2 linked regions of the Arabidopsis thaliana genome follow. The protein of the gene in region 1 purifies or fractionates together with the protein of each later gene. This does not show direct contact. Each region holds a gene or a part of one and is shown in the gene's direction. Other genes may lie near its edges.

Evidence for each region.
Region 2: the proteins of TOR (region 1) and AT1G79190 purify together in Arabidopsis thaliana (affinity purification with mass spectrometry, with the first as the bait; one large-scale study listed by BioGRID). This does not show direct contact.

Annotation. Positions count from the first base shown.
Region 1 is NC_003070.9:18,527,330-18,542,117, reverse strand, and holds the start of TOR (target of rapamycin), read left to right. Parts: upstream 1-2,122; 5' UTR 2,123-2,498; coding exon 2,499-2,663; intron 2,664-2,886; coding exon 2,887-3,225; intron 3,226-3,303; coding exon 3,304-3,378; intron 3,379-3,555; coding exon 3,556-3,728; intron 3,729-4,096; coding exon 4,097-4,195; intron 4,196-4,511; coding exon 4,512-4,671; intron 4,672-4,739; coding exon 4,740-4,883; intron 4,884-5,020; coding exon 5,021-5,190; intron 5,191-5,269; coding exon 5,270-5,474; intron 5,475-5,547; coding exon 5,548-5,736; intron 5,737-5,943; coding exon 5,944-6,096; intron 6,097-6,564; coding exon 6,565-6,686; intron 6,687-6,774; coding exon 6,775-6,874; intron 6,875-6,948; coding exon 6,949-7,044; intron 7,045-7,345; coding exon 7,346-7,476; intron 7,477-8,184; coding exon 8,185-8,287; intron 8,288-8,362; coding exon 8,363-8,545; intron 8,546-8,619; coding exon 8,620-8,712; intron 8,713-8,811; coding exon 8,812-8,847; intron 8,848-8,950; and 37 more. UniProt on the Arabidopsis thaliana protein: Essential cell growth regulator that controls development from early embryo to seed production. Controls plant growth in environmental stress conditions. Acts through the phosphorylation of downstream effectors that are recruited by the binding partner RAPTOR.
Region 2 is NC_003070.9:29,781,645-29,799,537, forward strand, and holds AT1G79190 (ARM repeat superfamily protein), read left to right. Parts: upstream 1-6,837; 5' UTR 6,838-6,994; coding exon 6,995-7,203; intron 7,204-7,374; coding exon 7,375-7,555; intron 7,556-7,672; coding exon 7,673-7,981; intron 7,982-8,077; coding exon 8,078-8,167; intron 8,168-8,248; coding exon 8,249-8,701; intron 8,702-8,794; coding exon 8,795-8,902; intron 8,903-8,988; coding exon 8,989-9,119; intron 9,120-9,219; coding exon 9,220-9,349; intron 9,350-9,487; coding exon 9,488-9,821; intron 9,822-9,931; coding exon 9,932-10,584; intron 10,585-10,664; coding exon 10,665-10,823; intron 10,824-10,951; coding exon 10,952-11,026; intron 11,027-11,124; coding exon 11,125-11,433; intron 11,434-11,513; coding exon 11,514-11,729; intron 11,730-11,803; coding exon 11,804-12,472; 3' UTR 12,473-12,531; downstream 12,532-17,893. Other genes in the region: AT1G79170 (uncharacterized protein), read left to right, coding at 629-642, 738-978; MYB63 (myb domain protein 63), read left to right, coding at 4,865-5,232, 5,330-5,945; SCI1 (splicing regulatory glutamine/lysine-rich-like protein), read left to right, coding at 12,760-12,832, 13,005-13,115, 13,531-13,589, 13,831-14,067; AT1G79210 (N-terminal nucleophile aminohydrolases (Ntn hydrolases) superfamily protein), read right to left, coding at 14,642-14,690, 14,775-14,840, 14,927-14,989, 15,066-15,151, 15,251-15,320, 15,550-15,617, 15,785-15,860, 16,058-16,104 and 3 more; AT1G79220 (Mitochondrial transcription termination factor family protein), read left to right, coding at 17,583-17,893.

The DNA of each region.
Region 1 (14,788 bases):
GAAGGGATTTTGGAGAAGAGCTATAAAAATGGAAGATTGATGAGAATTAAACAGGCTGGAATATAGCTGTGATTTTTTTGTTGAGAAAAACAAATGGAAATTAGGTGAAAGATTTTGTGGGGTCAAAACTCCAAAAAACCAAACTATCGCCTGTCAATTTCCAGATGTGTAAATTGAAATAATATTATTCTTTCTTTTATTTTATTTTTTTATTTTTTGGTAAATAAAAGTTTTTTTTTAGTTTAAGTATGTATTGATTCTTAACCTTGAAATTTCTAGTGTTCTAAATAGATTTATTTCTTTACTCCTTTATATGATTTTTTTAGTTAAATGTTTTTGTCTTTTACAATTTTGATATAATTTCTGGAATCGTTATTGAGGTTTATATGGTAGATTTTTTTCTTTTATACAGGAAACATATCAAGAGATTAAATAGTAACGTGTATATATATTTTTGCTGGTCTTGAATTCTTTTTAATGTATGTACATTTTGTTGTTGTTTTATTGACATTTCACACGTTTTATTAAATATATTTCTACTTAGATAACGATTGAAAATAGGAATACGTCGTATACTGTAATTTGTAAGATTTTAATGTAGCTTTTTTTGGCACTGATACTTGATTACTTCTAAAAACTGAAAGATCTTGTAAAATGCAGTTTTTTTAATGGAAGAGAGAAATAATGGAACAGTGGATAAAAAAAAGCCAAAGACCTTTTTGATTTGAAATGATTTAGCTTTTAAATTTTGAAATAAGCTGATGGAAAATAGTTAGAAGTGGATAATTTATCTATCTGTTTATCACTTAGGTTAGATGAATTGGTCCCAAAAGTTGGAGCACGCATGTATATAGTTGGCATCATTATCCTTTGCTAATAATATAAAACTTAAGAAGCTAATAAATTAATATTGACAAAAAAGTCTAAACTAATAATAAAATTCTTCTTTTTTTTTGATGAGGTTATTTATCCTATATGGAAATGTATATGTTATTATTTAAATTCTATACGTATAATGCGTTAATGATATAAAAAATTGAGTTATTTTGTGTCATTTTAACTCTTTTTTAAATAGTACTCTTAGTTGTAGTTTATTAATTTGGAGAGAAAAGAACACCAATATTTTCACCGACATTCTTGTCACGTTATGGGATTGCGCAACGTTAACACTTGGACCCTGTCTATTCACCATCCTTGATGTGTACGATGAAACCAAGCGATGCTATAGCCTCCCACAAGCCACAACTCTTTTGAAATTTTATGTTGGATGTGCTTCGTTTAATTTTCGAATGTAATGCTTATTTTGTCATACACAATCATTGTGATTATTTTCGTTGTAACAACGGAGAAACACGAACTATATTTTGGAGGAGCCATTTCTTTAGTTTTTCCTATACATATGAATATGAATACTACTTAACATACAAGCAAAACAAAAATTTACCATTGGAGAATAAATAATGATTTCTATGATTTAGAATTTTTATGAATAGAAAAACAAAGTTTCATCACATCTAACAATTCAAATCCACTCCATACCAAAAAAAAGAAAAACAATTCAAATTAACTGAATGATATGATTCACATTTCATCAATTTTTCAATATATGATATATCGATTACCATACAACTATTTTACAATTCTACTATTATTTGACATTTTTTATTCAAAATTTGACTAATATTCGATATTTTTTTGTATAGATATTATTCCTCTTATTTATTTAATTTGTTGACAAACTTAACCATATGCATTCAATTGAATTTTTTCATTTTCCCCATTATTTTTGTTCGTAATGACTACTAATTACAACAAAACTATAGTTTATTATTTTCCTACAATTTAATGATCATTTTAAAAACTCCTTATCTGCTTAAAAGCATAATTGGAAATAATAATAATAAAGTGAAATGACAATAAAAGAAAACTTATTCAAGAAACTACAAAGTTATTCCTTGACAAAAAAAGTTATTCTATTGTCCAGTGAACAAATATGAGTTTTTGACTATTTTTTTTTTCACAAGTAATTTTTTTTCTTTGACAAGTGTATATTAAACATTCTAAACATTACATAGCCCAAACAAAGACCCTTTCAGGGTTTTAAGTAATTAATCAGTGACAAAAAAAAATGAAAATATTGTATTTATAAGTTTTTGATAGACAAACATAAGTTTTACAATTTTCCAAGGAAAAAGTCATATTTTCCTAGTAAAAACCTTTCGGGTTTTCCAATTTATTTACCAAAGATAATTGGTCTCTGAAAGAACAAAGCAAAACCTAAGAAAGCTAAAAAGACACTCAGCGAATTGAATTTGTAAAAAAATAAGAGAAAAAATCTTGATTTCTTCTGCGATCTTCGGTTCTCGACGCATCATGTGTTGAAGATTCTTCTATCTTCCTCTGTACATACTCTCTCTCTGCCCAAGTGTTGTTGAACCAAAAAGGGGTCAGATTTAGGGTTTTTGGAAGATTTTTGTGGCTGGACTGGCCCTGCAGCGATGTCTACCTCGTCGCAATCTTTTGTGGCTGGACGGCCTGCATCCATGGCTTCCCCTTCGCAATCGCACCGCTTTTGTGGTCCCTCAGCCACCGCTTCTGGTGGCGGAAGCTTTGACACTTTGAATCGTGTCATCGCTGACCTTTGCAGCCGTGGTAATCCTAAGGTAATGAAGAACATTGTAAAGTATTCTCCCTTTTTATGCTTTAGTAGAAACCCATATAACCCTTTTGCTTTTATTGCTTATCTGACGGAATCTCTCTGTTCTGGTTAATGGAAAATTCGAAGTTTTAGTTCTTATAGGTCTGGCAATTTGTGGGTTTTGATCTATTGTTGTTGGTTTCCATCAAGTATGCGACTTTGTTTATGATTTTTGGTTGTTGTATTAGGAGGGAGCTCCTTTAGCGTTTAGGAAACACGTAGAGGAAGCAGTTCGTGATCTTAGTGGTGAAGCTTCCTCTAGGTTCATGGAGCAATTATATGACAGGATTGCTAATTTAATTGAGAGCACTGATGTGGCGGAAAACATGGGTGCACTCAGAGCCATTGATGAGTTGACGGAGATTGGATTTGGTGAGAATGCTACTAAGGTTTCTAGATTTGCGGGTTACATGAGGACTGTGTTCGAGTTGAAGCGTGATCCTGAAATCTTGGTGCTTGCTAGTAGAGTTTTGGGGCACCTTGCTCGGGCAGGTGGAGCAATGACTTCTGATGAAGTGGAGTTTCAGGTAAGATTGTTTGTTTCCCTCCCCTTCCTATCACTGTCTCGGCTCATAGTTGCTCAATTCTTGATCTCGTTTTCACAGATGAAAACAGCTTTTGATTGGCTTCGCGTAGACAGGGTGGAATATCGTCGTTTCGCCGCCGTTTTAATATTAAAGGTATCCTGATTTCAGCTGCCCGATCCTTTAGATAAGCAGATCATTTTTTCTTTTAGTTACTCAGAAAGAAACTTCTGAACTAATAAATTGGATTATAGATGTTTGAAAAATGATAGTGATGATAACTTTCCAATCCTAAGTTAATACGGATATGGATGTTTTCTTGCAACATTGCAGGAGATGGCCGAAAATGCTTCTACTGTCTTTAACGTTCATGTCCCTGAATTTGTGGATGCTATCTGGGTTGCACTTAGGGACCCCCAGTTGCAAGTGCGAGAACGAGCTGTTGAAGCTTTGCGTGCATGCCTTCGTGTTATTGAGAAAAGGGAGACTCGATGGCGAGTGCAGTGGTAAGTATTCTCTTATCCTTGAAAATGATAATGTCTGAAATGTTTTCCTTAGGTTATGTATTTGGTATGATATTTTTGATGCAAGGCTTTTCTTTGTGTTGTTGCAATACTTTCATTTGCAATCACCCTCATTTAAGTACTACTTTGTATATTTTATTGTGTAAATGCAACTTATATTAGCTTTTTATGCTGTGGTCCCCCCCCCCCCCCCAAAATGGATGATATTCGAATATATATTCTTCCCATGGTGATACGTTTTGCAGACTTTCTACTGCATTTATATATATCATTGCCAATGCAATGTTTCAAATTATCAATAGGGGTTTCCATCTTTATTAACTGATCTTCTCTCAATTTGGCTTTTACAGGTACTATCGAATGTTTGAAGCTACACAGGATGGGTTGGGCAGAAATGCTCCGGTTCACAGTATTCATGGTTCTTTACTTGCCGTGGGGGAGCTGTTGAGGTAAATGCAGAAGTGGTTATCTATTTTGAAAGCATCCCTTTCTTTTAGTCAGACACTCAAGTTTGATTCTGGAATATTTCCGTAGAACAACTTGTTTGTCCCCATGATGCTCGGGTTGTTTTGTTAGTTTGTCTTCGTATTGTAGTTTACATCATTAAAAAAGTAGGCAATTCATGTATATTCCTCCACTCTCAGTGTATACCTGAACAAAAGACTCTTGACGACGAAAATTACGTTGTTTTCTGTTATAAGCAGATTGATTTCATGGCATATTGGGTGTTAGAGTTTACAGCTTAATGCTAGAGTTCGTTTGCAGGAATACAGGTGAGTTCATGATGTCTAGGTATAGAGAAGTTGCCGAAATTGTCCTCAGATACCTTGAACATCGTGATCGCCTTGTTCGCCTTAGCATCACCTCGTTACTGCCTCGCATTGCTCACTTTCTCCGTGACCGGTTTGTGACAAACTATTTAACGGTAAGTGACTGAGAGATTCTTAAAACCAAAAAATTTCTGGAAACGTGACACGAATTACTTTCTTGCAGATATGCATGAATCATATTCTTACTGTGTTAAGAATACCGGCTGAAAGAGCCAGTGGGTTCATCGCCCTTGGGGAAATGGCTGGTGCTTTGGATGGTGAGCTTATCCATTATTTGCCGACAATTATGTCTCATCTGCGGGATGCGGTGGGTCAAATTTTATTTATTTATTTATTTATTTTGTAATTACGTTTTACTACTTTTGTGTCAAAGTATTATATTGGGTTTTAGTTTTGAAAACTGAACTAGACAAGTGGCTTTGTTCGACTATGTTGTCCCTGTAGATTGCTCCACGTAAAGGCAGACCTTTGCTTGAAGCTGTGGCTTGTGTTGGTAACATCGCAAAGGCAATGGGATCCACAGTGGAAACTCATGTTCGAGATCTTTTAGATGTTATGTTTTCATCTAGTCTCTCTTCCACACTTGTTGACGCTCTTGACCAGATAACCATCAGGTAAAGTTGAACGAAAGAAGTTTGTTATTACATACATTGATGTGTATACGTTTAATGCTGACAATTCTTTGTATCTCAGCATTCCTTCTTTGCTGCCAACAGTACAAGATCGGCTTCTAGATTGCATTTCGTTGGTTCTTTCAAAATCCCATTATTCTCAAGCAAAGCCTCCTGTTACCATTGTCCGAGGTAGTACAGTGGGCATGGCACCACAGTCTTCTGACCCTAGTTGTTCAGCTCAAGTTCAACTAGCCCTGCAGACTCTTGCTCGTTTCAATTTCAAGGTTGGCGCTCTTTGCGGATAACATTTTCTAAAGAATATGAAATTTCTGTCTTTGAGCTTCTGATTTCTGGCAGGGACATGATCTTCTTGAATTTGCTCGGGAGTCAGTTGTTGTTTATTTGGATGATGAGGATGCAGCCACAAGAAAAGATGCTGCTTTGTGTTGTTGCAGACTAATTGCAAATTCTCTTTCTGGCATCACACAATTTGGCTCGAGCAGGTCAACACGAGCAGGGGGGAGACGCAGGCGCCTTGTGGAAGAGGTTTTATATCATACTGAAAGCCCATTACATTTTTTTCTTATTATGTCTTTTAATTTCACTGTTTCTCATTACAAAAGGTTTCTTTTTATTATTTTCCAAATCTGAACTTAAGTATGTTAAACATGCTTCGTGATGGCATTTATAATTGCAATACCAGTGGCGGTTCCAATTTTCTGCTTGCTGAGAAATGATGTTTGGGTTCTGCAGATTGTGGAAAAGCTTCTCAGGACAGCCGTTGCAGATGCTGATGTAACTGTTCGCAAATCTATATTCGTTGCTTTATTTGGCAACCAATGTTTCGATGATTATCTAGCACAGGCTGATAGTTTGACTGCCATTTTTGCTTCCTTAAATGATGAGGTATGATTGTGTTATTTGTTTGAATAAAATAGCAGCTTAGATGTCATACTGCAGTCCTAATTTGTTACCGATCTTTTATTTGTCTCTCTTGGGTGAATTATTGTAATTGTATTGCTCTTTGAGATTCAATTTCATGGGTTCATGAAGTTGGTATTTAATTACTCCCCCTAATATCAAAATTTGGATACCAAGACGTAGCTGGGCTTTTAGTCTATGAATTAGCTTCTATTGTGTCACAAAACAGTGTTACTTATTAAGTTGTACTGGAAAAGTGCAGCTGAGATAACTTAATTGGATGATTTGTGGATGGAATGAATGCCTTTTGTTGGTGGATGCATCATGTGATACCCTGTTAACTTGATAGAATGTTTGGCTTATGTTTCACACTTTCACTCCACCTGGCTACAGTATCTGGCCTAGTCAATGGAACCATTTCAATTCATATATTACAATATCTCTGTTTAACAGGACCTTGATGTTCGAGAATATGCCATCTCAGTTGCTGGAAGGTTATCGGAAAAAAATCCAGCATACGTACTTCCAGCACTTCGTCGCCATCTTATACAGTTGTTGACCTATCTTGAGCTGAGGTAACTACAAATTTTTTAGTTCATATGGGAAGATTCATTTCCTATGATTATGTATCTGTTGCATTGACTTCAATTGTAATGTCAGCAGTGCAGATAACAAGTGCAGGGAAGAGAGTGCAAAGCTCCTTGGTTGTTTAGTTCGAAATTGTGAACGGCTCATTCTTCCATACGTAGCCCCTGTCCAAAAGGTTTAATTTCTTTTCATTTCTTAGATAGTATGGCTATTATTGTTGTTCACGGGGTTGTAACTCTTGTTTTCTAGGCACTTGTTGCGAGACTTAGTGAAGGAACTGGAGTGAATGCTAACAATAATATTGTCACTGGAGTTCTCGTAACTGTTGGGGATCTTGCAAGAGTGGTAAGTTGAAATATAATTGGCAAGTTTTAGATTCTATATTAAGTGTCGATTCAAACATAACTGCGTTTTTGCTGCGCGTTAAAGTTGCAGTCTGATTTTTGACTATTTCTATCTGTGTTCTAAGTCTGTGTTGGCTAAGCGTATTTCAAATTTCAATGCCCTGGCCGGCATCTAATATTGTATTTTTTGTTGTCTCTAAGTTAACAGAATGTTGGTACTTTTATTTCCTTTCCTGTCCTGTTATTTATTGTGTTTGGCTAAGATATTCCCTTCCTGGTTTTCTTTTGCGTTGCTTGCTCAGGGTGGCTTGGCAATGAGACAATATATTCCGGAGCTGATGCCTTTAATTGTTGAAGCTTTAATGGATGGAGCTGCTGTAGCAAAACGTGAGGTGGCTGTTTCTACTCTTGGTCAAGTTGTTCAAAGTACAGGGTATGAGATATTGACCTTCTTTTACGACTTTCTTCTTGTTTTATATGATAATGCTACTAGGCAATTTTGAACATGCTAATTTTCTTGTAAACTAAGACAATGCTACTATCTTGATTGGCGAAAGCCTGGTTGGACTAGATGAAAATACTGGATTCTAAGTGAATTTTTTGACACAAACGGGGCCTCCATCTCTTCTTATTAGCTAGGTAGAAGCCTGAGCTATCCTTAGGCTGTTTATGTGTTAATGTATACATATGTGTTATGTTTATCCTTTAACCTACTAAAAGTGAGAAAATTCTATATGAAATGACAATATTGTTATCCCTAGCTAGTTCTTCTATCTGCGGTAGATCTTTGTGATGGTTTTTTTTCCGTCTCTCCTGAGATGGCTCATTATTCCGGAGAAAGAATATTGCCTTTCTGTGTCCGGACTTGTCATGAGTTGTATTCTCTGTTTGTCGTGCGAAAGGATTGATTTACCAATACCTAGGATATTATGCTGCCTAGATTTAATCAACTGTATCACTGGTGTTTATGAAGTTGTAGACATTTGTAGACAGTGCGGTGATCAACTTGCATGTTACTGTTTAGTAGCTTGGGACATGTGCTAATTATTGTGCACATAACTAGTACAAAATGAAGGGAGTTCCAGAAGTTTACAATCCTCCCTGCATGTTATTTACGGCTCTAATTTCATTATGAACGTAGGTATGTTGTGACTCCATACAAGGAATACCCATTGTTGCTTGGGTTACTCTTGAAATTGCTGAAGGGTGACTTAGTGTGGTCTACCAGACGAGAAGTGCTCAAGGTAGTTTCTAGAGAATTGTTTTACTCTAGACTATTCTAGAAGATATTTTTGTGATAAACGTGGTTATATCTACAGGTTCTTGGAATTATGGGCGCTTTGGATCCTCATGTGCATAAACGTAACCAACAAAGTTTATCAGGATCACATGGTGAAGTTCCTCGCGGCACTGGTGATTCTGGTCAACCTATTCCATCAATTGATGAGTTACCTGTCGAACTCCGGCCGTCATTTGCTACATCTGAGGATTATTACTCAACGGTAGTTCTTAATTTGTGTGAATATATTTCATTTGTAGTCTGAATTGTGCTCAATTACTTTCCTTATTGTTATAGGTTGCTATCAACTCGCTTATGCGAATTCTTAGAGATGCATCACTTCTTAGTTACCACAAAAGGGTTGTTAGATCTCTGATGATCATTTTCAAGGTAACTAAAACCATCTTGACTGTTTTTTAAAATAAACTTGTGTTGGAACTGCAATGAGGAGGTTACAACTTTATCACTACTTTGTTTTTGCGAGGTTAGTCAATGGGATTGGGATGCGTGCCTTACTTGCCGAAGGTAGGTGTAAATAATATTGTATCTCCGGCAGCTTTTCGATAAATGCTCTCTCTGTTTTACGTTGTGGTAATTTGTTGGGTTGGTTCCACCTCTGAATTTGAAGGTTTTACCTGAGCTTTTTCACACTGTTCGAACATCTGATGAGAACCTGAAGGACTTCATTACGTGGGGTCTTGGGACTCTTGTTTCCATTGTTCGCCAGGTATATCCACCTTAATATTTTCAGTTATGGTCAAAATACGACCGACTTTGTGTAAACTCATAGCTTATGTTATCTGTGTACAGCACATACGCAAGTATCTGCCAGAGCTGCTTTCATTAGTCTCTGAACTATGGTCATCCTTCACCTTGCCCGGTCCCATACGCCCATCACGTGGTCTTCCGGTAAGTTGTATGCTGCCTAGAGTATGCTATGTTTCTTATTGATTAAGGACAGATATCTTATGGGGAGTACTTCGCCTCTCTTACTGATAATCAGGTTCTGCATCTACTGGAACATCTTTGCTTGGCACTTAATGATGAATTCAGAACTTATCTTCCAGTCATCCTTCCATGTTTCATCCAAGTATTAGGTGACGCCGAGCGGTTTAATGATTACACCTATGTTCCTGATATTCTCCACACACTCGAAGTGTTTGGCGGTCAGTAATACTTATCTTGTTTTGACATCCTCATAGTCATTTTATATTACTTGGGTATGCGAGTTCTAGTAATTAACGTATGCAGTTCTTTTACAAGAATGTAAAGAGGTTCCACATTATTAGATTGTGTAGTGTAAGATGATACAAGTAGTTTCGTTATTATATGCATATTTGTTTCTTATCTATTAAATCCAATTTTTTTTCGGTATATAGGTTCTTTGAATAGTCAGATTGTTTACTCCTGTAGTTTCCATTTTCTCACCATGGCCAGATTTCACTCTGATGGTTGACCCTTAGAGTCCTTATGTGCAGGAACTCTTGATGAGCACATGCATTTACTCCTTCCGGCACTTATTCGATTGTTTAAAGTAGATGCTCCTGTAGCTATAAGACGCGATGCCATCAAAACTTTGACAAGAGTAATCCCGTGTGTTCAGGTTAGGAGCTTTGGTTATTTATTTTGATTTTTTTTTTCCCTTTGCTGATCCAGAAAAAATTCCATATTAAGCTTCTTGTAATACTTTTAATTATCCGTATATATCCTCAGGTTACTGGTCATATCTCCGCTCTCGTGCATCACTTGAAGCTAGTATTAGATGGGTGAGTTATACTGATTGTCACTATCTGAAAAACAGTATATTGGTTACTTTTTCCTAAGGGTTTTCTTACAATACTTCTTCAAAACTTAGGCATTGTGTCACTATCTGGTTTTCTCTTAAATGGTTGACAATGCATTATCAAAAAGGATGGAATTATTATTATCTCATTAACTTTCAATCCGTCATTGTTACTGTTACAAATCTGTTTTCCATAAGTTGTTTGTATTGCTTAGTTACAATTTTTTCTGGCCACATGTATTTGTTATTAGAACTCCGCAGATGTTAGTTACATTTCTTAATATCATGGGATTTTATCTGCCATTATTGATGGGACCCAATTGTTTTCTAGTGGATTTTCATTTCACGTTTTTCTAAACCTTACTCGTGATTTCAGTTTCGTACGTATAAATATTCTTATGGGGTATATCTTCTGTAATCGCAGGAAGAATGATGAGTTGCGGAAAGATGCTGTCGATGCACTATGCTGTTTGGCTCATGCACTTGGAGAGGACTTCACCATATTCATTGAATCAATTCACAAGCTTTTATTGAAGCATCGATTGCGGGTCTTGCATTTTACTATCTTTTAAATAAAAATAGCAGCAAAAATTTATCTGTCATGTATTATAAATGTCATTTGTGAACTTCTGTCTGTAAAATCTCACTGTACAACATTTTTTCAGCATAAAGAATTTGAGGAAATTCATGCTCGCTGGCGGAGACGTGAACCATTGATTGTAGCTACAACTGCAACCCAACAATTAAGTAGGCGACTGCCAGTTGAGGTTATCAGGGATCCTGTAATTGAGAATGAGATCGATCCTTTCGAAGAAGGAACTGACAGAAACCATCAGGTACTCTTTTCTGTGTCGTATATAATCACATATAGATTCTTAATGTGTGAAAATTTTGTTATCAAGTTTCAAGTTAAAATCATGATTTTACTCTAACATTGTACAAAATTTCTGGTCGGCATAGTCATTATTAGTATGACTTCATTGAGGCAAACATGGGGTGTATTGTAGGGTTCCTTAGCTGAATAAGGCGGATCTTTTTTTCTTTCTTTTTCCTATCTAAATGATGGGTAGGTTTATCTATAGCAACGTTCATTCATTGAAGCTTAGTCTTGGTCCTGAGCCATTTGCTTCAATGAGTTTGTAAATATGTCCTCTATATTTCCTCTTCTCCATGGACATTCAGCTTTTAAAAACAAATAAAACTATATATGGGCTTGATTTAACATGATCCTCTAGTAAAGTTTATTTGGTTCTTTCTTAGTTTTGAAAGAGCTAAAACTTTCACTCATGGCTTTGATGATCTGCTGAACAGGTTAATGATGGTAGACTACGGACAGCTGGAGAAGCTTCTCAACGCAGCACCAAAGAAGATTGGGAGGAATGGATGAGACATTTTAGTATTGAATTACTTAAGGAGTCTCCCTCTCCAGCATTAAGAACTTGTGCAAAACTTGCTCAGTTGCAGGTGTTTCATCTATGCTCTTTCTTTTCCTCTCTCAAAAGGGTGCATTTTAATGATTGTGTTTTGCAGCCATTTGTCGGGAGAGAGTTGTTTGCTGCTGGCTTTGTCAGTTGCTGGGCACAGCTAAACGAGTCTAGCCAAAAGCAGTTAGTTAGGAGCTTGGAAATGGCCTTTTCATCTCCAAATATCCCTCCAGAAATTTTAGCTACACTACTCAATTTGGTATGTTCGTTGTTACATTACAAGAAAACTTAAACATGATAAAGACCTTTGATTGAGTCACTGGCTATAACGAACAGCAAATTTGTTTCCTGTGGCTATGCTTGTGCTTATTGAGTGCTTGTGTTTTAGCTTAGGCGATTGTTATGAGTTGACTACATTTTCCAAGACTGGAAACAAAAACTTCTTAGGTCACCATTTCTTTAGCGGTTGCACCTGTTAATCTTTCTATGTAAAACACGTTTTTTGTTGCTAAAACCATCAACAAAACGATCTGTGAGTGTACATGGAAACATGACGTGTAATTTTTATTTAATCTAATATTAACACTATAATCCAAATATCTGCTTATACTTCGTTTAATCTATATTACGTTTAGGTTGGATAAACAATCATAAGTTCAGAATCAATATCAACCTACCTTTATGTGTGATCCTGTTGCTTGGTCCTGTCACTTGTGCTTGATTTTATTATTTCTCTTCTTAGGCAGAGTTTATGGAACATGATGAGAAGCCTCTTCCCATTGATATTCGTCTTCTGGGGGCTCTTGCTGAAAAGGTTTGCGTTATGTATTTGCTAGTTAAATTAGATTTGGTACTTTTTTCATTTGCGTATCAAGAATTCATCTGATTTTCTTGGTAATGTGCAATATTCCAACTTTGTAGTGCCGTGTTTTTGCCAAAGCTCTGCATTATAAAGAGATGGAATTTGAAGGTCCACGATCCAAGAGGATGGATGCCAACCCAGTTGCTGTTGTCGAGGCTCTTATACACATAAATAATCAGTTACACCAGCATGAGGTACACTGTATTTTGTATCCTATTTCGACCATCTTTGATATTTGTTATTATTGATTGGTTGGAATTCTTTGTATAGGCTGCTGTCGGTATACTAACCTATGCTCAACAACATCTTGATGTGCAATTAAAAGAATCATGGTAACATGGCTTTTCTGAATCATGATGCACTTATTTTCAGTTCTGTTTGATAGGCATTCCGTCACAAGATTGTGTGTGGTTCCATTCTTTGATCCTAATCAGTGGAAAAGCACTAACAGTGTTTGTTTCTAGGTATGAGAAGCTGCAGCGCTGGGACGATGCACTCAAGGCGTACACTTTGAAAGCATCTCAAACAACAAATCCTCATCTTGTATTAGAAGCCACATTAGGTTTGTGGTAACCAAGACTAATATTGGGAGGATTTAGTGGGTTTTTTTCTTCGATAATGTTTTTTTCTAAGTTCTGTTGGCATTTTTTTGTCGGTATTCTGTTAGTAGTTCATAGAGAACTGTGGGTTCATAACATTCTTACAAGTTAGCAGAACAACAGATCAACGCATTTTTTTCCAGTCTAAAATTCATATGATGCTTCTCTTTTCTTTTCATGAAATGGCCTGATTCTATTGCTTATTTACCACGTTGTAGGACAAATGAGATGTCTTGCTGCACTTGCACGATGGGAAGAGCTCAACAATCTCTGCAAAGAGTACTGGAGTCCTGCTGAGCCATCTGCGCGTCTGGAAATGGCACCAATGGTTGGTAACTTCTACTTATGCTACATTCGGTGATATAGCTACATGGTTACATAATGTCTTTTTGCAACCATACTAGGCTGCACAAGCTGCATGGAACATGGGAGAGTGGGATCAAATGGCCGAATATGTGTCTCGGCTAGATGATGGTGATGAAACAAAGCTTCGGGGTTTAGCAAGCCCGGTTTCTAGTGGCGATGGGAGCAGTAATGGCACATTCTTCAGGGCTGTTCTGTTAGTTCGAAGGGCAAAGGTACACTTGGACCTATATTTTCGTACTATAAATCTTATCAGGCTTACTTATAATCTATTTGCAGACACTAATTTCTGCGTATGTGTGCCTGTGGATATTTTTCTTTCCTTTTTAGTACGACGAGGCACGCGAATATGTGGAAAGAGCTAGAAAATGTCTTGCCACAGAACTTGCAGCGCTGGTAGGTTTCATTTCTGGTAGTATTTTCATTATAAACTTTTGTGAAAAATATCTATGAATCATCTGTTGTGAATAAAGGGAACAGATGTATATCAGCAAAGATATTTGTAACTGGTCTCAGCCTTTTCCATTATGTTCTTGAAACTATTTGAGTACGCCTTGTGGTGTTGGAAGTAGGATTATACATTCCTGACATCTTAGTTACATATTTAGCTCTATTTAAATAACATTTTGTGCATGCTATCGTTGGTTCCTTTCAATAGAAGCATCATGTAATCACCATGTTACCTTCTTAGTTGCTCACGCATACTGAAAAACTTGTAATTGTCTATTTGCGCCTTCTACAGGTTTTGGAGAGCTATGAGCGTGCGTACAGCAATATGGTTCGTGTTCAGCAGCTGTCAGAACTAGAGGAGGTTAGATCTCAATTATCCAAGATCCCTTCTCCTGGACACCCTCCCTAACACCCCTCCATATACATGATTAATCTTTCTATTTTTTTCCCCTGTTGTATCGATACTAGGTAATTGAATATTATACGCTGCCTGTGGGAAATACTATTGCCGAAGAACGGAGAGCTCTAATTCGTAATATGTGGACTCAGCGGATTCAGGGATCTAAGCGTAATGTGGAGGTATATTATTTTTAATGTTATCATGTTAGTTGAGCCACTAGTGAATGACAAGGCATTTGGTATTTTAAGCATCAAATATTGCAGTATGGTGACTTTATTAAATGAATCTTCGCTAGGATCAAATTGATTTTTTCCATATTAGGTTTGCTTTATTTAGTTTCCGTCTGTTGATTTATAAAGTAAAGTAGCTTCTTACCAAACTGTTAGTCAGAGCTTGTATCCTACGTAGATAAAAAAACAAATCCAAATAAGAAAACTCATTAAAATTTTATTGAGTGATCTCAGGTTTTTTGTATAATAGTGTGCTTTTTAATACTTTGCATTCCCAATACTACTCAGGTGTGGCAAGCACTTTTGGCTGTCCGGGCACTTGTGCTACCTCCTACAGAAGATGTGGAAACTTGGC
Region 2 (17,893 bases), about 11 Mb from region 1:
CTTTCTAGATTGTTTATTTACAATCTCTAGCAAAACTGTACCGACATTATGTTTTCGTTATTTCTTTTGGCTGTCAACATTTGAAAAACTATTTAAAATAATAGCAGAAAAAATGTGGTGAGATATTAATTAGTAATTGGCTTTTTAGGAAATAGGAAGGTGTATGCATTTAAGAACAAACCCAAAGAGCTTTGAATAATTATAAAGTTGGAAGTTTATTTCTATTTATTTCTATTTAGGTTCTTAGGGTGACGAAGTGATGATGCTCACGGACGTTTTCATAACACCTAACATTTAATAGCTTTTATTAACTTATACACACACATACACAAACACAGACGAATGTGTGAAAAAAATGACATTACTTTATCGGGATTGATTCATTTGACGTCAAAAGTCACTAAATAATTCAGCAAAATAGAAATTTTATTGTTAAGGAAAAAAAAAACAAATCAAAACTGGAGTAACAAGTTATGCATTGTTCATTAAGATTTATTTATATATAAGATTTTAGGATGATTTGCTGACCATGTTTGATAATCTATTTAAGAATATAGCACCTTAATATGCAAAACTAAGTAAATAACACTAAAGAGGGATAAAAAGTCAAGTAACTCCTCGTTAAAACATGAGAACACGCGCGTGAAAAGGAGAAGAAGAGTGACGTGATCTTTCACACTTTTTTTGGTTTATGGACATACATAAAAAGAGAAAAGTGTTGGCTAGCTTAATGATAGCGAAGATGGTAATAGTAACAATGACAGTGCCGATGGTGATGGTGACGACAACAATAGCGGTGCCGATGGTAATAGTGATGATAACAGTGGTGGTGCCGATGGCGATAGTGAGACAACAATGGTGGTGCCGATGGCGATGGTGACGACAACAGTGGCAGTGCCGGTGGTGATGGTGACGACAACAATCGCGGTGTTAGTGGCGATGGTGACGATAATGGCGGTGCCGGTGACGAAAAGATAATTACAAATATATATTGATATAAGAAAACTAAACCCTAAGATACTATACATAGAACCCAAACAAAAATCATTAAACGAAATGAAATCATCTCAACTTTCAATTTTCAAAAATCTAACAGCAAAATAAAATAGTACAATGGTGATGATGGCTCCGGTGACGATTTTCCGGCGATGTGGCTCCGGATACGATTTTTCGGCGACAATGGTTTTAAAGGTAGTGGTGGTTGTGGTGGTAGTGGAAGAAAAGAAGAAAGAAAAGAGAAAATGTTCACACATAAGAAAGAAGAAGAGGGTATAATTGTATTTATTACATATAATATACACAATATCACCTTATAGTTTTTGAAGTGTTAGTTTCCAAATTATTAAATGTTTTTAGGTTATACTTGCAAATTTCCCAAGATTTTAAATCTATGGTTTCTCGATGTTTTATTTTTGAGGATACATATTCTTAACAAGACGGCTGGCCCTAAATGTGTAACTGTGAAATTAATTTTGGTATATTTATTTATATGGCAGTGAGACTGGTCTTGGGGTTTCAATGCATTTAAATGGAATATTGGTGTGGTTATTAAATTCAAAATTAAATGATATATTAAAATTTTAAATGCATATAATAAACCTTAAATTCCCAGGCCATTACTCATTCTGCAGTCGATTTTCTGTTTTATTTTTCAAAATTTTAGTTGATGTGAAGAATTTAATGCATGTTTTATCAAAAATGTATGATAAATATATTTGTGGACATCCGAGTTTTACACAAAAACGTCAAATTTGAATATCCAAAATAGATGATCGGATATAATGTTAAAATACGATACCAATATCAAGTATTTATTTTTGGTTAGCAAAAAAAAAGATCAAGTATTTTCAGTTATTAGTTCATTCTAATTTTAAAAGTTAAAACTAACGTTTTCAATTAGACAGGCCCGTTTCTACCAAAATTAAAAGAATTAAAAAATAGACAGGCCCGTTTATAGTATTTTTAGCCCAGTATCTACGAAATCCGGCCCAACTACATCTTCCCGCATGTTATCGTCCCTTTTAAACTGGTGCATGAGATGTTTATGTACTCCATTTTCGAAAATAAACAACTCTAATATGGAGAGAAATGAGAGGTCTTTATTAAATATCACGTTAACGAGTTGTGTCATGTAATAATTACTGACGGTTACTATATCGAATAATTACCTAATTATCGGGTAATAAATTAAATACCAAAATATTAACCATTATATGGTCCATATACAGTGATCTAGTAGTTGAATAATTGCTTACGTTCAAATCTTAATTATGGTTGACCGTATATAATAATATTTTATATGGTATTCGCATGCTTTGGAGATTAATATAAAGATATTCTGATTACTAAAAAAAAAAACCTAAAATATTAACCAACACATTTCTGTTGAAATAGATCCCATAACAAATACATGTGCGTCATGCATGCGTAATCATTGATTTTATCTGCTTACCTTTTGAGTTTTTTGGGTCATGAATCTCATGATTTATCTATGTTTGAATATTATGGCGTTATTTTATTTAATTTGGAAATGTTAGCACTGTGCTTGGACCTAATGAGTGTGATTAGTTAGGTGATCAGGAAAAAAGTAACCATCACTGTTAAGCAAATGTCCTACCAACCCAACCCAAGGATGGATAATATTGTTTGAGATCTCTATTTTTTTCAAGATTAGGTGTCTTATTTGGTCTCTTGGAAAAATCTTGTTTAGGTGATTATCAGATCATTTTAATTATGATTTAATTGTATTTCCCTTTTAAAACTTACTTACAAAAATCAAAATTACTTGTTTTCGTTAGTATATCTAGTCATGAATTCTAAACTTCTAGCATTTTTGAAAGATTGGACTCTTTTATGGGTAAATCTTTGGCGCATGAGTTGTTTTCTAAATCGAGAATTTGTTTTTATTAGATAAGGTGTTATATCTCCTAAACAATAATACAATAACAAACGCAAAAAGCGAAGCATATTTATGTATATATAGTCTTATATAAATAGTTGATATATATTAATATGTGTCCCTATTATGATCACACAAAACATACACATGCAGAGCTTTATTCCAATAGCTAAAATCTGAACTTTAAAGTCAGTACACTCGAAATTGATATTGACGTATGTATTACTAATAGCAACATGTGTTCTTTCATCATAAGTTTACATAATTTTTTAATTTTATTCTACTTAATTAATGTCACAGTTTCCATCGTTTTGATAAGGTCCATACTCCATAGGGACGTTGAAAATTTAATTTAATTTTTTCCACTCATAGTTGTCCTTTTTTTCTTAGTAAAGTTTGGGAAAGTTTTCCCACTCATACTTGTTTGTTCACCAACCTTCTGATTACCAAGAGTCGTATAAAAATGCAAAACTAATAGATCGTCATTTATATATGTTGCTCCTATAGACTTTTATCGACAAAATTTTCCGAATTAATCATTTTGTAACTTCAATACATATACGTCCAGATATTTACCCTAGTGAAAAATATTTCTTCTTTTTCAAACCTCTTTTCCTCTCTATTCCTCCTAAGAGCTTGTTAACGTAACAAAATTGTTGGGTTTATTAACTTCAATTATTGTCGATACTTAGTACTTTAAAATATTTGGAGTAATAGATGTAGTGATGGCTGTGTCGTAATTGCTTGAATAATTTTGGATGGGTACAGAGGAATTAATTAAGTAATGAAGGTTTGGTGGAATTAAGTAATTAACGTAGCCAAGAGCCAACAACAACACCAAACCCACCAAACATTAAAAAAGTCAAAAAGACGTAAGTCTTTGACCTCTTCCACTCTCTTTGGTCTTTAGTTTGGTGAGTTCGTGCACTATGCTCACACACACTCCTTACGCCTTTTGGTGTTTTCGGATGTGATTAGAAATGACTTTTTAACAGTTTTTTTTTTTTTCTGTCTCTCATTTTAATGTTATATTTAAGGATTATATATATTTCTGCTTTTTTGTATACAAAATATGAAAATATTCCATGGAGTGACGTATGGAGTGACTGCGTACTTAGTAAAACAGCATTATTAGTGAGAGTTCATTTTTCTCGTGTTACACTGTATCTACATGATGATCACGGGACTATCTATTATTCAAAAGTTGGTAATTATACACTGAGCCTGATTACAGAAGACTCGCAGACAAAAACTAATATAATCAATTCCTCCTATGTATACCTTAAGCTAATTCTTAATTAACAAGTTGCAGATTTACAATCTTATTTTAGTCAAAACACTACCTAATATTTTGCCACTTTATAACTATATATTCTTACTCCTCCAAAGTATTTTTATTAAGAAATACATAAAACTCTTATCATTACCGCTGTAAATTCCTAAGACCATTTCAATTAACACTCGTCGACATGTAGTAGTTTCTTACATTAGCGAAATTTATTTCAGACAATTTTATAAGATATGTCAAATCTGATAATATTTTTAACACGAGATGCTAGTTTCCATTATTACTTGATGTCAAAAAAGAAGAAAATATTATTTAAGGATTTTGGTTTCTAAAAACGAATGTGAAATATTCATGCATCGGTGTTAGAAGGAAAGATAAGTTGCATGCATCATAAGGATGCCAAATGAAGTAAAAATGAGAAAATGGAATCATACCAAATAATCAACCATACCACAGACAGACAACCTTTTCCCACTCAACAAATCTGATTTGACATTTATCAATTCCTCTGTTTACATATTCATCTTTTCTCATGTCAAGATCACACACTCTTACCTCTCATATATATAAAACAGAACCAAATTATCTTTGGTAAAAGTGAATCTCATCAGGAACTGAGTGATATAAAGTTATATATATAGAGGAGAGAGGGAGTGAGAGGGAGTGAGAGAGAGAGAATGGGGAAGGGAAGAGCACCTTGTTGTGACAAGACCAAAGTGAAGAGAGGTCCATGGAGCCCAGAAGAAGACATTAAACTCATCTCTTTCATTCAAAAGTTTGGTCATGAGAACTGGAGATCTCTCCCCAAACAATCTGGTATGTCATTGCTTTTGTCATCACAATCAAAGCAAAAGCCTCTTCAATTGTTTTTTCTTTTCTTTATGATTCTGAATGTATATATATGCAAAAATGAAGGGCTATTGAGGTGTGGGAAGAGTTGTCGTCTAAGGTGGATTAACTATCTTAGGCCAGATCTGAAGCGTGGCAACTTCACTTCAGAGGAGGAAGAAACAATCATTAAGCTTCACCACAACTATGGGAACAAGTAAATCATCAGCTAGGATTATTATTGTGCTCATACATATATGGTGGATCAAAAAAGTGATTTGATATTGACATTAAGCTTTCTGCATTTTGATCAGGTGGTCGAAAATCGCTTCTCAACTTCCAGGTAGAACAGATAACGAGATCAAGAATGTGTGGCACACTCATCTAAAGAAAAGACTGGCTCAGAGCTCAGGAACTGCAGATGAACCGGCCTCGCCTTGTTCGAGTGATTCTGTTTCTCGTGGGAAAGATGATAAGTCATCTCACGTAGAAGATTCTTTGAACAGAGAGACTAATCATAGGAATGAGTTGTCTACATCTATGTCTTCTGGGGGTTCCAACCAACAAGATGATCCAAAGATAGACGAACTCAGGTTTGAGTATATAGAAGAAGCTTATAGCGAGTTTAACGACATTATTATTCAAGAGGTAGACAAACCCGATCTGCTGGAGATACCATTTGATTCAGATCCTGACATTTGGAGTTTCTTAGATACTTCAAACTCATTTCAACAATCCACTGCAAATGAGAACAGCTCAGGCTCAAGAGCAACAACAGAAGAAGAGTCTGATGAGGATGAGGTTAAGAAATGGTTCAAGCACCTAGAAAGCGAACTCGGGTTAGAAGAAGACGATAATCAACAACAATACAAAGAAGAAGAATCATCATCATCATCACTCTTGAAGAACTACGAGCTCATGATACATTGATAAAAGATATTTATTTTGGATATCAATATGACAATATGTATGATGGAAAGGTAGAGAGATAGTAGAGAAAATGTATTTCCTATAGTTTTTTAATTGGCATTATTTTTAGTAGCCTGTAGATAAAACAGAGCTGGTCAAAAGATGCACACTATACTAAAAGTCTAAAACTATATATCTGGAAGATTCTTTCTTTAGTCTTAGAGAATCTTGAAGAAAATTATTGAAGAATATTTGGTAGGATTAGTTTAGTAATCTCAATCATCTAACAACCATCTTGAAACTGGAAACGACAAAACATGAAGACCAGTTACTCTTGTTTGGAGATATATTAACCTCAACAGCTATTTTTTTTGCTGAAGAAGAAGTAACAATAACTATGAACTTATCAACGAATTAAGGCAAGCAACTGAATTAGAAGAAGCTAATCTCAACAATGTTGCATCTCCGAATGTTTTCTTGAATTTCATTGGAGATAGACAAAAAGTTGGAAGCTTAATATAGATAGATCTCAGTTTTGTCTTCCATGGCTTCTGATAAATCTTAGTTTTCTTGAAATTGAAGAAATATTATATGATCTTGATAAGAATATATAGGTAACTTGAAGAAGAAATTAACTTCTACTTTCAACTTCTTTATCACTGGTTCAAGTGAAGGAAAATTGAGTCAAATTGGGTTGGGATACCCATTTTAACACTCCGGTTTATAGTTTGAAAGTTTAAACCGATTGGTTTAATTTGATTCGAAAGAATCTGGTTCTTATAACTATTAAATATAATGTCGGTTCATTTGTACGATACTTTACAAAATATGAGGTTTCGTTTGCAATTCTATATAGATTATCAGGTTTATTTTGCATTTATTCCTAAAACCCTAAAGGGGAAATCTTCCCGGTCTTTATTCGAGACGACGACGACCTATAAAGGCCAATAGCAATGGATCGGGTCAATTAATCTCGGGTCGGGTCATTTCTTTTTCAATTTCGCGGTTCTATCTCTCTCTGTTTGCTGACTCGAGATTTTCGAGTTTGGTGGGATAATTGATCGGATTCAATGGACAAGTCCGTCGTAATACGCCGTGAAACCAATGGAGACGACGTTGAGGGAGACCCGGAAAGAGAAGCTGTCTTCGCACAACTGAAAGTTCTCTGCTTGGAGCTTCTAAACCTTTCGCAAAACCCTGAAAAGGATCCAACCACGATCCCTGCTTTGCTCCTTCTCCTCCGCCGTACTCCTCCGTCCTCTCTCCAGTCCTTCTTCCAGTAATTATTCCACTTTTCTCGTTTCTCTTTATCTTTTTACTTCTTTCTGCTGAAAAAACGGTAATCTGCACATGAGTAGCAGTTTCAATTATAAGGTTTAAAAGAGTTCATTTGTGGTGTATTGTCGACTGTTTACTTAGTGAGAACTGTTTTGGTTTATGTACGTTTCAGCTACACTTTGTTCCCATTGCTTCTTCTGTTAGACGCCGCAGTTGCTTGCAGAAGTCAGGGGCAAAACAAGCCAGAGGAATTTCCACAAACACCATATAGAGTGAGTGATAAAGTAGCAGAAGGTGTAATCTCTTGTCTCGAAGAACTTCTAAAAAAATGTCACATTGGATCCATAGATCAGGTGAGCTGGTTTTGAACTCTCACAATCGTTTTTATGATTGTTTTCTACCTTTACTCGATTTGGGTAACATATTCTCAGCTTAGTTATGGAACTGTGTTGAATTTTTTCCCCGTACAGATGGTTGTAATTATGAAGAAGTTAACTAGTGGTGCTGTTTTATCACCATCTGAGGCTTCTGAAGAGTTTCGTGAAGGGATAGTCAAATGTTTCCGAGCAATGATCTCTGGTCTGCTTCCATGCTCTGATGATTCTTGCTCTTGTAAGCGCACTGTTGGCTGGCCTCAGCTGTCAGATAGAAGAGATTATCAAACTCAAGTTTCAGAGTCTTATAAGTATGATTTTGAAACTCGTGAATGCTTGCTTGCATTTCTTCAGTCTCAGTCTGCTTTGGCTGCTGTCGGTCATTGGCTTTCCATTCTTCTCAAAGTAACCCTCTTTTCTCCTATGCTTTCTTTTTTCTTTCATCTGGAGTCATGTAGTTTTATACATTCTAAGGTATTTCAATTCTGATCACTCCACAAGGTCGCTGATGCTGAGGCTTCTCGAGGACATCGAGGAAGTGCAAATCTTCGAGTTGAAGCCTTTATGGCTTTACGGATACTTGTGGCTAAGGTAACTTTTAAATTATGCATATATGGTTTGGACCATTTCTGGCACCCATGGGTCCTAATGAGAACATGTTTCTTGTTGCAGATTGGTACTGCTGATGTGTTGGCGTTTTTTCTACCTGGTGTTGTTAGCCAAGTTTTCAAAGTGTTGCATGTTTCGAGAGCAATGATAAGCGGAGCTGCAGGAAGTGTTGATGCATTGGACCAAGCAATTAGAGGGTTAGCTGAGTTTCTTATGATCGTCCTTGAGGATGAGGCTAATTCATCGGCTCTCGAGATTTCTAATGGTGATACTAAGTCGCAGAAACATGAATCTGCACACTCAATTTTAGACGAACTTCGTTCTCTGACAACAAAATCTCAAGGACAGAGTGACGAGCTGACAGAAATTACAAACCAAGAGATTGTTAACATCAATGTACCTGAAAAATCCAATCTGAATCTGAGTCGTGACTCCTTTCTTGTTGAACGCACGAAGAAATGGTTAGATAGCACTACATCTCACGTAAATAAGCTGCTGTGTGAGACATTTCCTCATGTAAGCTATTTATTCTCGTGCTACGTTCAACACATTTGTCCCAAATCCCTTTGGAATTGTTTTTTCTAAATGGTAATTCTTAATTGGTTTCAGATTCTTATTCACCCAGCCGGCAAAATTCGATGGGGATTTCTAGCAGCAATACGTGGACTGCTCTCTAAGAGCTCTTGCTCGTTGAAGGGTGCTAGATTAGTGATGTTGGTAGGTTCATAACTAACAACAACTCATGATATTGGGTATATCCATTCCAAGGATTGCCACCAGATAAATTCCTTATAATGATGCAGGAATGCGTATGTACTCTGGCTGTTGATGACTCTGATGAAGTTTCTGTAGCAGCTCAGGAATTTCTCGATCATTTATTCTCAGAAAGTACAAAAAACCATGTAGAGAGTGATATAAAAAAGATCTTTAGCAGGTATTTGTTGTATATTGTTTTTTTCCTTTGAAGCTAAGTATGCAGATGTCTAAATAGAGATGTGTTTTTTTATTCTTCTTCCGTGGCTTGTTGACAACAGACTACTTGAGAGGCTTCCAAAAGTGGTTCTGGGGAATGAGGAATTGCCTGCACTTTCGGTGGTGAAGCAGTTACTTGTCATCACCTATTATTCCGGTCCTCAGTTTTTGGCGGATCATCTTCAGTCTCCCGTATGTATTCTTTCTTGACACGCTCATAGGTTTGGTGCTACTTCTTTCTTGATTAGCAAATCTAGTTCGAAAAACCAAACATGTTCTAATAATGACTTGCGATATATGATTAGTTCTTCATGGCATTCTGTTATGTAGATAACAGCTAGCAGATTCCTGGATATATTTTCTCTCTGTCTAAGCCATAATTCAGCATTCACCGGTTCTCTTGAGAAACTCATCGCAGAAAGGCCTTCATCATCGACAGGTTACCTCCCTTCTATCACAGAACTAAAAGTGGGGTTCCGGGAGACCAGATACAACCGTGCTGTTCCAAATATCACAGAAACAGATCAAGTAAAATTGGAGATATCGTCCCCCAGTAGCCATATGTTACCTCGCATGCCTCCCTGGTTTTCTTATGTTGGTAGCCAGAAGCTCTACGAGATGCTCGCTGGAATCCTTAGACTTGTAGGCTTATCCTTAATGGCAGGTCATTTCATATTCCTTCGGAACCATTTTTCTGAAAATTACTCTGCAGTTAACTTATAAATGAGTTAGTTACTGATAGTAAATCATCTCCGTTGTGTTTGTGTTTGACAGGATTTAAAAACGAAGGGCATTTAGCAGTCATCCTGGATATTCCTCTGGGGTTTGTCCGTAAATTGGTTTCAGAAGTTCGTGTAAAGGAGTATAATGGAGAAGACTGGCAGTCGTGGTGTAATCGAACTGGTTCAGGACAGTTAGTTCGCCAGGCGGCAACTGCTGCTTGTATCTTGAATGAGATGATCTTTGGTCTATCTGATCAAGCAACGGATGCTCTCTCAAGACTGCTTCAGAAGTCAAGGAAGGGAAGAGACAAACTTTCCTGGGAAATCTCTTGGAACAAACGTGCAAAAACAAATCTGATTGAGTGCGTTGGTAAAATCCTGCATGAATACCAAGCTTCTGAAGTTTGGGATCTCCCCGTGGACCAAAAGGCAATTCTGGGCCAAACTGATAACGATGGGCAACATATTAGTCTGCATTTCTTAAGAGACAGTGCAATGCTACACCAAGTTATAATAGAAGGAGTAGGTGTGTTTTCCTTGTGTCTAGGGAAAGACTTTGCTTCAAGTGGATTTCTTCACTCTTCGCTTTACCTTCTGCTTGAGAGTCTTACCTGCTCGAGTTTCCAAGTTAGAAATGCTTCAGACACTGTCCTACGTCTTCTTGCTGCCACCTCAGGCCATCCCACAGTGAGAATGAAGAATAATGTAGTCGAAAATATTCAATCACATCATAAAATCGTTTTTAAAATCAACATCTTGTTGTCTTTTGTTTGTTTGTTTGGCAGGTTGGGCATCTGGTTGTTGCAAATGCGGATTATGTTATTGACTCTATTTGTCGCCAGCTGCGCCACCTGGATCTTAATCCTCATGTCCCAAATGTTCTAGCTGCTATGCTTTCTTATATCGGGGTTGCCCATGATATATTACCTTTGTTGGAGGAACCGGTAAGGCCATTTGTAGTGAACCTTTTTTTTTTTCATGGAAAATTGCCTCTGTTGGATCTTCATCACACTCCGATTCATCATATTCAGTGTGTTAAGAACTTTCTTTTTCCATTTTGGGGGATCTACAGATGCGATTGGTTTCCCAGGAACTTGAAATTGTTGGTAGACAACAGCATCCAAATCTAACTATACCCTTCTTGAAGGTAATTCAATCTTTCATTTTTTTCTATTGAAGTCTTTTAAAATCATTGGCTTTTTTTTGTCTAAGAAACATCATAACCTTTGTTGGTGCTTCTGCTAGGCTGTTGGTGAGATTGTAAATGCATCAAAGAACGAGGCTTGCTTATTACCAGACCGAGCCAAGTCATATAGTGACCATGTTAAGACCAAAGCAACTGATGCGATTACATCAAGACAAGAGAGAGTTTCAAATTCTGACAAAATAGTTGAAGACGAAGAAGAATGGGAAAACATACTGCTTGAACTGAATCGTTCTAAACGATACAGACGCACAGTTGGTTCGATCGCCTCTTCTTGTTTAATAGCGGCCACGCCTCTCCTTGCATCATCAAATCAAGTCTCATGCTTAGTTTCCCTCGAAATAATTGAGGTATTATTCCTGTCGGATTTCTTGAGCTCTCTCTAGGACATTTTCGCAAGCGAAATAAATCAGTATATCCAATTATGCAGGAAGGAGTAGTGGCGCTGGCTAAAGTCGAGGAAGCTTATCGAGCTGAGACAGAAACCAAAGAAACAATTGAAGAAGTCATTGAATTTGCTTCATTCTATCAGCTTAAAGACTACATGAATGCTAGCGACGATGGAGCAGATGAAAACCGGCTTTTACCCGCTATCAACAAAATCTGGCCATTCTGTGTTGCTTGCATACGAAACAGAAATCCCGTGGTACAATCTCTTTCTCCCTCTTCCGAATTTATCTCTAGATTAATGGATTATAAAACCTGCTGCATTTTCCACAGGCTGTACGGAGATGCTTAGTCGTGATAACCCGAATCATTCAAACATCCGGAGGAGATTTCTTCTCACGTCGTTTCCGCAATGATGGCCCAGACTTTTGGAAGCTTTTAACAACGTCTCCATTCCACATTATGACGCCTAAGATCCTCCGGGAAGACAACAAATCGGTTCTCCGACTTCCTTACAGAACCATTTCCGAGTCATCATCTTCTACGATTGCTGAAGTTTCCAGCTTGAAAGTGCAGGCAGCAGTTCTCGATATGATCGCCGAGATTTCCAGAGGTAAACGCAGTGCTTCAGCGTTAGATGCAGTCTTGAAAAAAGTTGCAGGATTGGTCGTGGGGATTGCGTACAGCAGTGTAACTGGCCTAAGAGAAGCGGCTTTGAATGCGTTGAGAGGACTTGCTTGCATTGATCCTGATCTCATTTGGATTCTCTTAGCTGATGTGTACTATTCTCTCAAGAAGAAAGATTTGCCTCTCCCACCGTCTCCGGAGTTTCCAGATATCTCTAATGTTTTGCCTTCTCGGCCGCCAGAAGATTCTCGTACAAAGTTTCTCTATGTAGAATACGGTGGTCGGAGCTATGGTTTTGAGTTGGAGTTTAGCTCCGTTGAGATAGTCTTTAAGAAAATGCAGTCTCTTGTCTTTGTAGACCAAATGCGTTGTTAATACTTTGCTTGTAGTAAATACTTTTCTGAAAACAGCAGTAAAAAAAAACTTGGTAATATAGTTCAAGTGTAACATTGAGCAAAAAGCTAGTAAAAAGGGATTATAATTGTATTGGGGTAAATAAAAACATTGGGGGCGAGATGCAAAATATAAAAGAGTAAGGGGTTTAAGTGTAATTTCGACATCGAGACCCGACCCGACCCGGGATTATGAATCCTGATCGCCGCGGGGTCCAAATAAATATATGTCAGCTCCTCCGTTCTTTTATTTTAGTCCGTCGGGAAATAATGGTAAGCGAACGGAGCTCCAAGGAGAAGAAGAGAAGCAGAGCTCGGAGCGAAGATTCTTCATCTTCCGATTGTATGTTCTTCTTCTTCTTCTCCTCTATGTATATACTTTTTCTTCCGATTCCCGAGAAATGCCATCAATTTATCTATCTGTGTTTTCGATTAGATTTTGTAGTTGGCGTTGAGAGTGTGACTTATTGTTGTGAATGACATAATCTGATACATAGTGATTTATGAATTGACAGACGAAGAGAAAGTTAAGAGGCATCGAGGAACAGAGAAAGATGATGAAAGGAGAAGTAGGAGAAGTGATAAGAAGGATAAGAAATCTCACAAGCACCACAAATCCAGTACATGTAAGATACTGTTTCTCATGTTTTGAGTTAGTAAATATTGTTCCATCCGTTTTAGAACCTTGATTATATGTTGAGTCAAGTTAAGTTTGTCGTATGATAAATTTGATGTGTTTGCTTCTTCATCTAGAGAGTGGTGTGTTTATAGTTATACCCATGTGAGCTGGAGTTTTCTTGTTCTTGTATGCCATTAACGGAGCATCAATTTAGCTTTGTCTTACCTATATTCTCCTAGAGAAGGAAGAGGTTGTAGTCGGAACCTGTTGGTTTGAGGGATTATAGGCAGCAAGAAATATCTTGTTTTGGTTACAGCTAAAGCAGCTATGTTTATCTTTCATCAGCATGACTTATATCATGTGTCTTTGCTTTTCAGTATGATCTGTTTTTCTTGCTGCTGACATTTTTTTTTCTCTTACAGCAAAGAAGTCCAAGGATGATAAGCCGAAAAAGAAACATACGGAAAGCGACCACAAGCTAGTGAGCTCTAACTTACCCTTTGAAATAGTTACCCATAAAAACATCTATTTGTATATTCACTTAAAAAGTCAAAAGTATATTGCTTTGGAGACTTTGTATGTGTGGTTCTTCGCTGGTCTCTTCAGTTGTTTAGTCATGGTTTAATTACAAAAGTCTTGTTGCCCTATTGTAATGTTTGACGGATTGTCATCCACACTGAGGTTCTGATTAAAATGCTTTTCTTTTCCGTTTTTTCTTCCAGAAAGAGGGAATTCCAGAGCTATCAATGGAAGACTACTTCTCGAAAAACAACGAGTTTGCTACATGGCTGAAAGAAGAAAAACGTACTTACTTTAATGATCTCACGACCGAAGCTGCACGAGGACTGTTCTCACGATTTGTCAAGAGATGGAACAGAGGAAAACTCGAGTCTCGATACTACGAGGGAATCTCCACTGCCCCACGAACAGCTCACGACTGGATGATCAAGCGTAGGTGAAAAAAAGCAAAAGCAATACCTTCCTCTTCTGTGGTTCGCCGGTTACCTCTCTTCTTGCTTCTTGTACACGTGAAGGTTGATTGCATCAGAGATATATTTCTATGTAGTTTCTCTACTTAGAACTTCTTGTTGCTGAACTAGTTAGATAGATTGTCGTGGAGAGATATGTAGTCGGTTTTCAGAGTAAGACAAACTTTACATATCCAAGGTCTTAACCAAAGTTGCCGAAGAACTATCTGATGAATCCTTATGTAACATTGAGAATTTGATATCCGGTTAAGGGAGAAATAGACCGTTTTGATTGAAAGTTGGTCTTGTACAGTATGTAAGTTCCTACTGGCATTTACAACACAGCGTATATGTAGCTTTGGCTAAGTAATTTGTGTGCATGAAACTTGGTTATATGAAACTGAATTTTCACAACAGACGTTTAAATGAGTGAAAAAACATATTCTAAATTATTGGGTCACGAGTCTCCTTAACAAATTCCAAAAGTTTTACAAAAGCAAGAACCATCAACTCTGAGAGTATACTGAGATTCAAATCAGGTTGGTTGCACGGTTAAGTGAAAGTTTTACTCGACTTCAGCCAAGTAATCATCGATTTCTGCTGGTGTTAGCACCCTGCATATAACATTCACTTTTCAGATATTGATGGGAATAACAAGATTTTTTGTTTATATTAGTTTTGTAGTCTTGAATGTTTACCTGAAAACTTTGTCAGTACCGATTTTGCCAATCTCGATGTTTTTGCTTGAGATTTCTCCCTCGAAACTGTGAAAAGACACGGAGGTTATAGGCTTTTGAGAAATTCTGAACTCTGGAAATAAAGTAAATTAAGTTTTGGTAAAAATGCTCACCCTTCCTTCAATGTCAATATTGCCGTGTGAATGGCATCATCAAGTTCCATATCTTCTGTGTACCTGATCAAAGACTAAGATGAAATGACATGCTTCCAAGATCATAAACTCATCACCACAAATGGTAAATTATTATCACCTCTTCTCAAGAAACGTCTTTGCATTCGAAACATTCTTTCCCATTGCAGAAGCTTTCCATGAGAAATAAGAGCCAGATGGATCCACCTAGTGGCCAATGAAAATTATGAAATAAGATGTTTTCAGTTTACGGGTTTTACTTCACTTTGAGCAGGATGGTTATATTTTCTTTAAAGTTCTACTTACTTGATACAGTTGTGGACCCTTGTCATCATACCCAGCCACCAGTAGAGAAACTCCAAACGGCCTAACACCACTATTAACAGCAGAAGGAGACAGAGATTAGAAGCAAGATTCAGTAGTCTAGTTTGCAAATACAGATTTGCATTAACAACATTATCTCACGCCAAATCAATATCAAAACTGAGCTAAAAAGTGCATAGAGAGACTCGCTCTAGAGTTGCAATCTCTGAGCCAATAACACTTTTGAACCCTGTTGAGCATATGAGAGGAAGTAATTACATAACACTCGATATAGTACTTACCCCGATTGAGTGAACTCTTGCATCACCGTGGCAGTTTCCCTTACAAGTTGAGTAACGGGGATGGGTTCCTGCAACAATAAACGCCCTTAGAAGTTGAATCAACAGAGCGATCTGGATTTATGAATAAGCAAGAACTTATATCAACTGGAATCATCAATCCAAAGTTTTTATCATACATGTACTACTAGACACTCCAGGAAAAGAAGACAAAAAAACAGAAGATATTAAAGATTACCTTGTACAGACGGAGATATTGCTCAGCCTGCTTCCTACTCTTTCGCACAAGAACTCGGAAATCAGGACCCATACCACTACATAAAAGGCAATACCAAAGTTAGCACTGAAATCATTAGGGTACTAAGGGAAAGGTTCCATCAGTAGCACTAGCACCTGATGAGAGAGACTAAGTACCCAAAACAAAATAAAAAATGTATGATAAATCCAATTTGCAAGCTATAAAACCAAATTCGCTATTAAAAAAGAAGTATGGATAGCTGAAGAGAAGAACCTGTAAACAGTTCCAATGTTGGGAGTCAAATGTTGAATCTTTTGAACCTGAAACAGACAATAGATAAACATTAGTTTCGTAGGAGTTACTGAAACTATGCAACCGAAAGGAAAGTAACACGAGCAGGCACAGAATGAAAAAGAACTAATTGCTATAAAGAGTTGATCAAACTTACAGACGCTTCATCAACCAATATAGAAGGAAGTTTCTTTTCAGTTGCAATGACAACTCCATTTGAAGCTGCATAAAGAAAACAACAGTCATGATTACCAAAGACAATGTTCCTTAAAAATCTCCTCTCGAATTTGATTAGATCATTGAAAAAACCTTTAATTCCAAGTGATGTTTGGCCTGATCCAACAGCTGTTAGGGCATGTTCTATCTGAACCAGCTTCCCTGATGGGCTGTTTCATAAACCACAACATGAATCAAACCCCGAAGAAACCGTTCCAAATGCTCAGAAAGAGATAACATTGATATGATAAACAAAGTTAATACCTGAAGGTGGTGAGAGAAAACGAGTACTGACTGTCCCCCATTGAAAACCAACTAAATCAAGCTGCAAAAAATGCGAAATAGTGTCATCTCTGGAAATTTAGAAACGTGGAAGCTAAATCTGTTCTTCATCAACAATGTTCAAACTTAAATGAAAAGAAACCACGTCTGAGCAAGTAAGTAGACTGAAGCGTTCAAATCTGACAAAGCTTAAAAACCCGGAAGAGTCTCATCGCCATGGGCAATGTGTAAGGAAAACGATGAAAAAGACAAGATATACCAACCCTAATTAAGAATTGTGAGTGAATCAAATCAAACACAAACTCAAACTCAAAGATCAGCTCTTAGCTCAAACTCAGAGACGAAAATTGAAAACTTTTCTTAAACCCCAAATTCAATATATTTAAAGTTATCAATTTAAATTCAACAAAAGAAACCCATTCAATCAAAGCAACATACCTTTGATATATGGATCGAACGGAATGGTCGCAAGAGAAGAGAGAGAGAAGAGACCCAAGTGAAGAATTTTTAAGCTCTCAAGGTTTCTTGCACAAAGGGTGAGAGTCTGACGCCAGAAAACGAGAGAAACAAAAAAACCAAAACGGCGGCGTTTTAACAACTTCACAGTTACTGTATCTTACATAATAGTCCAATATTTTATATCTCTTTTCAGTTTGAACCACATTATTTATTTACTACCCCTAGTCCCCTACTCTCTCTCGCTTCCACGCCCGACTCGGACTCAAACCTGGTCCGAATTGGCTGTGTCTCTCTCCATCGCCTCCTTCTTCTCTGACAAACTCTCCTCCGTTGGTCGGAGTTTGTTTCTTCGCTCGTTCATCACAAGCTTCGTGTACTGGTAATTGTTCCATTTTTTCTAGCTATTTCGGAAAATTGGATGGAAGAAGCATCTGAAATACGCGTGTAAATGTCGCTGATTGTGTCGTTGAGGCAGAGCCATTGTTGATTCTTAGAGAAAATTTGCTCCTTTATTTCTCCAGTTTGTTAAACTCTCGATTACGCCCTTGAAATGCATTCGACCGGGAAGAGAAATTTCTTAGCTGTTATCAGATTATTGTTTACTAGTTCGAGCTTGGTCAGAAAGGCTGGTTGTAGAAATCTCATTTCTGCTACCTTTACCACCAGGTGTTCGACGTTATGCCTGAATGAATCTGAAGAATGCATTGAGGATTCTGATCTATCGTCTAGGAGAAAAAAATTTGATTATGTTGGAGAAGTTGGTGAAAAAGAGAAAGTGAGAGATATTACTAGTAGTCCTTTACAAGTTTTACGAAGATGGGGTTGTGATGATGATGAAATATCCAAGCTTTTTACTCGTAG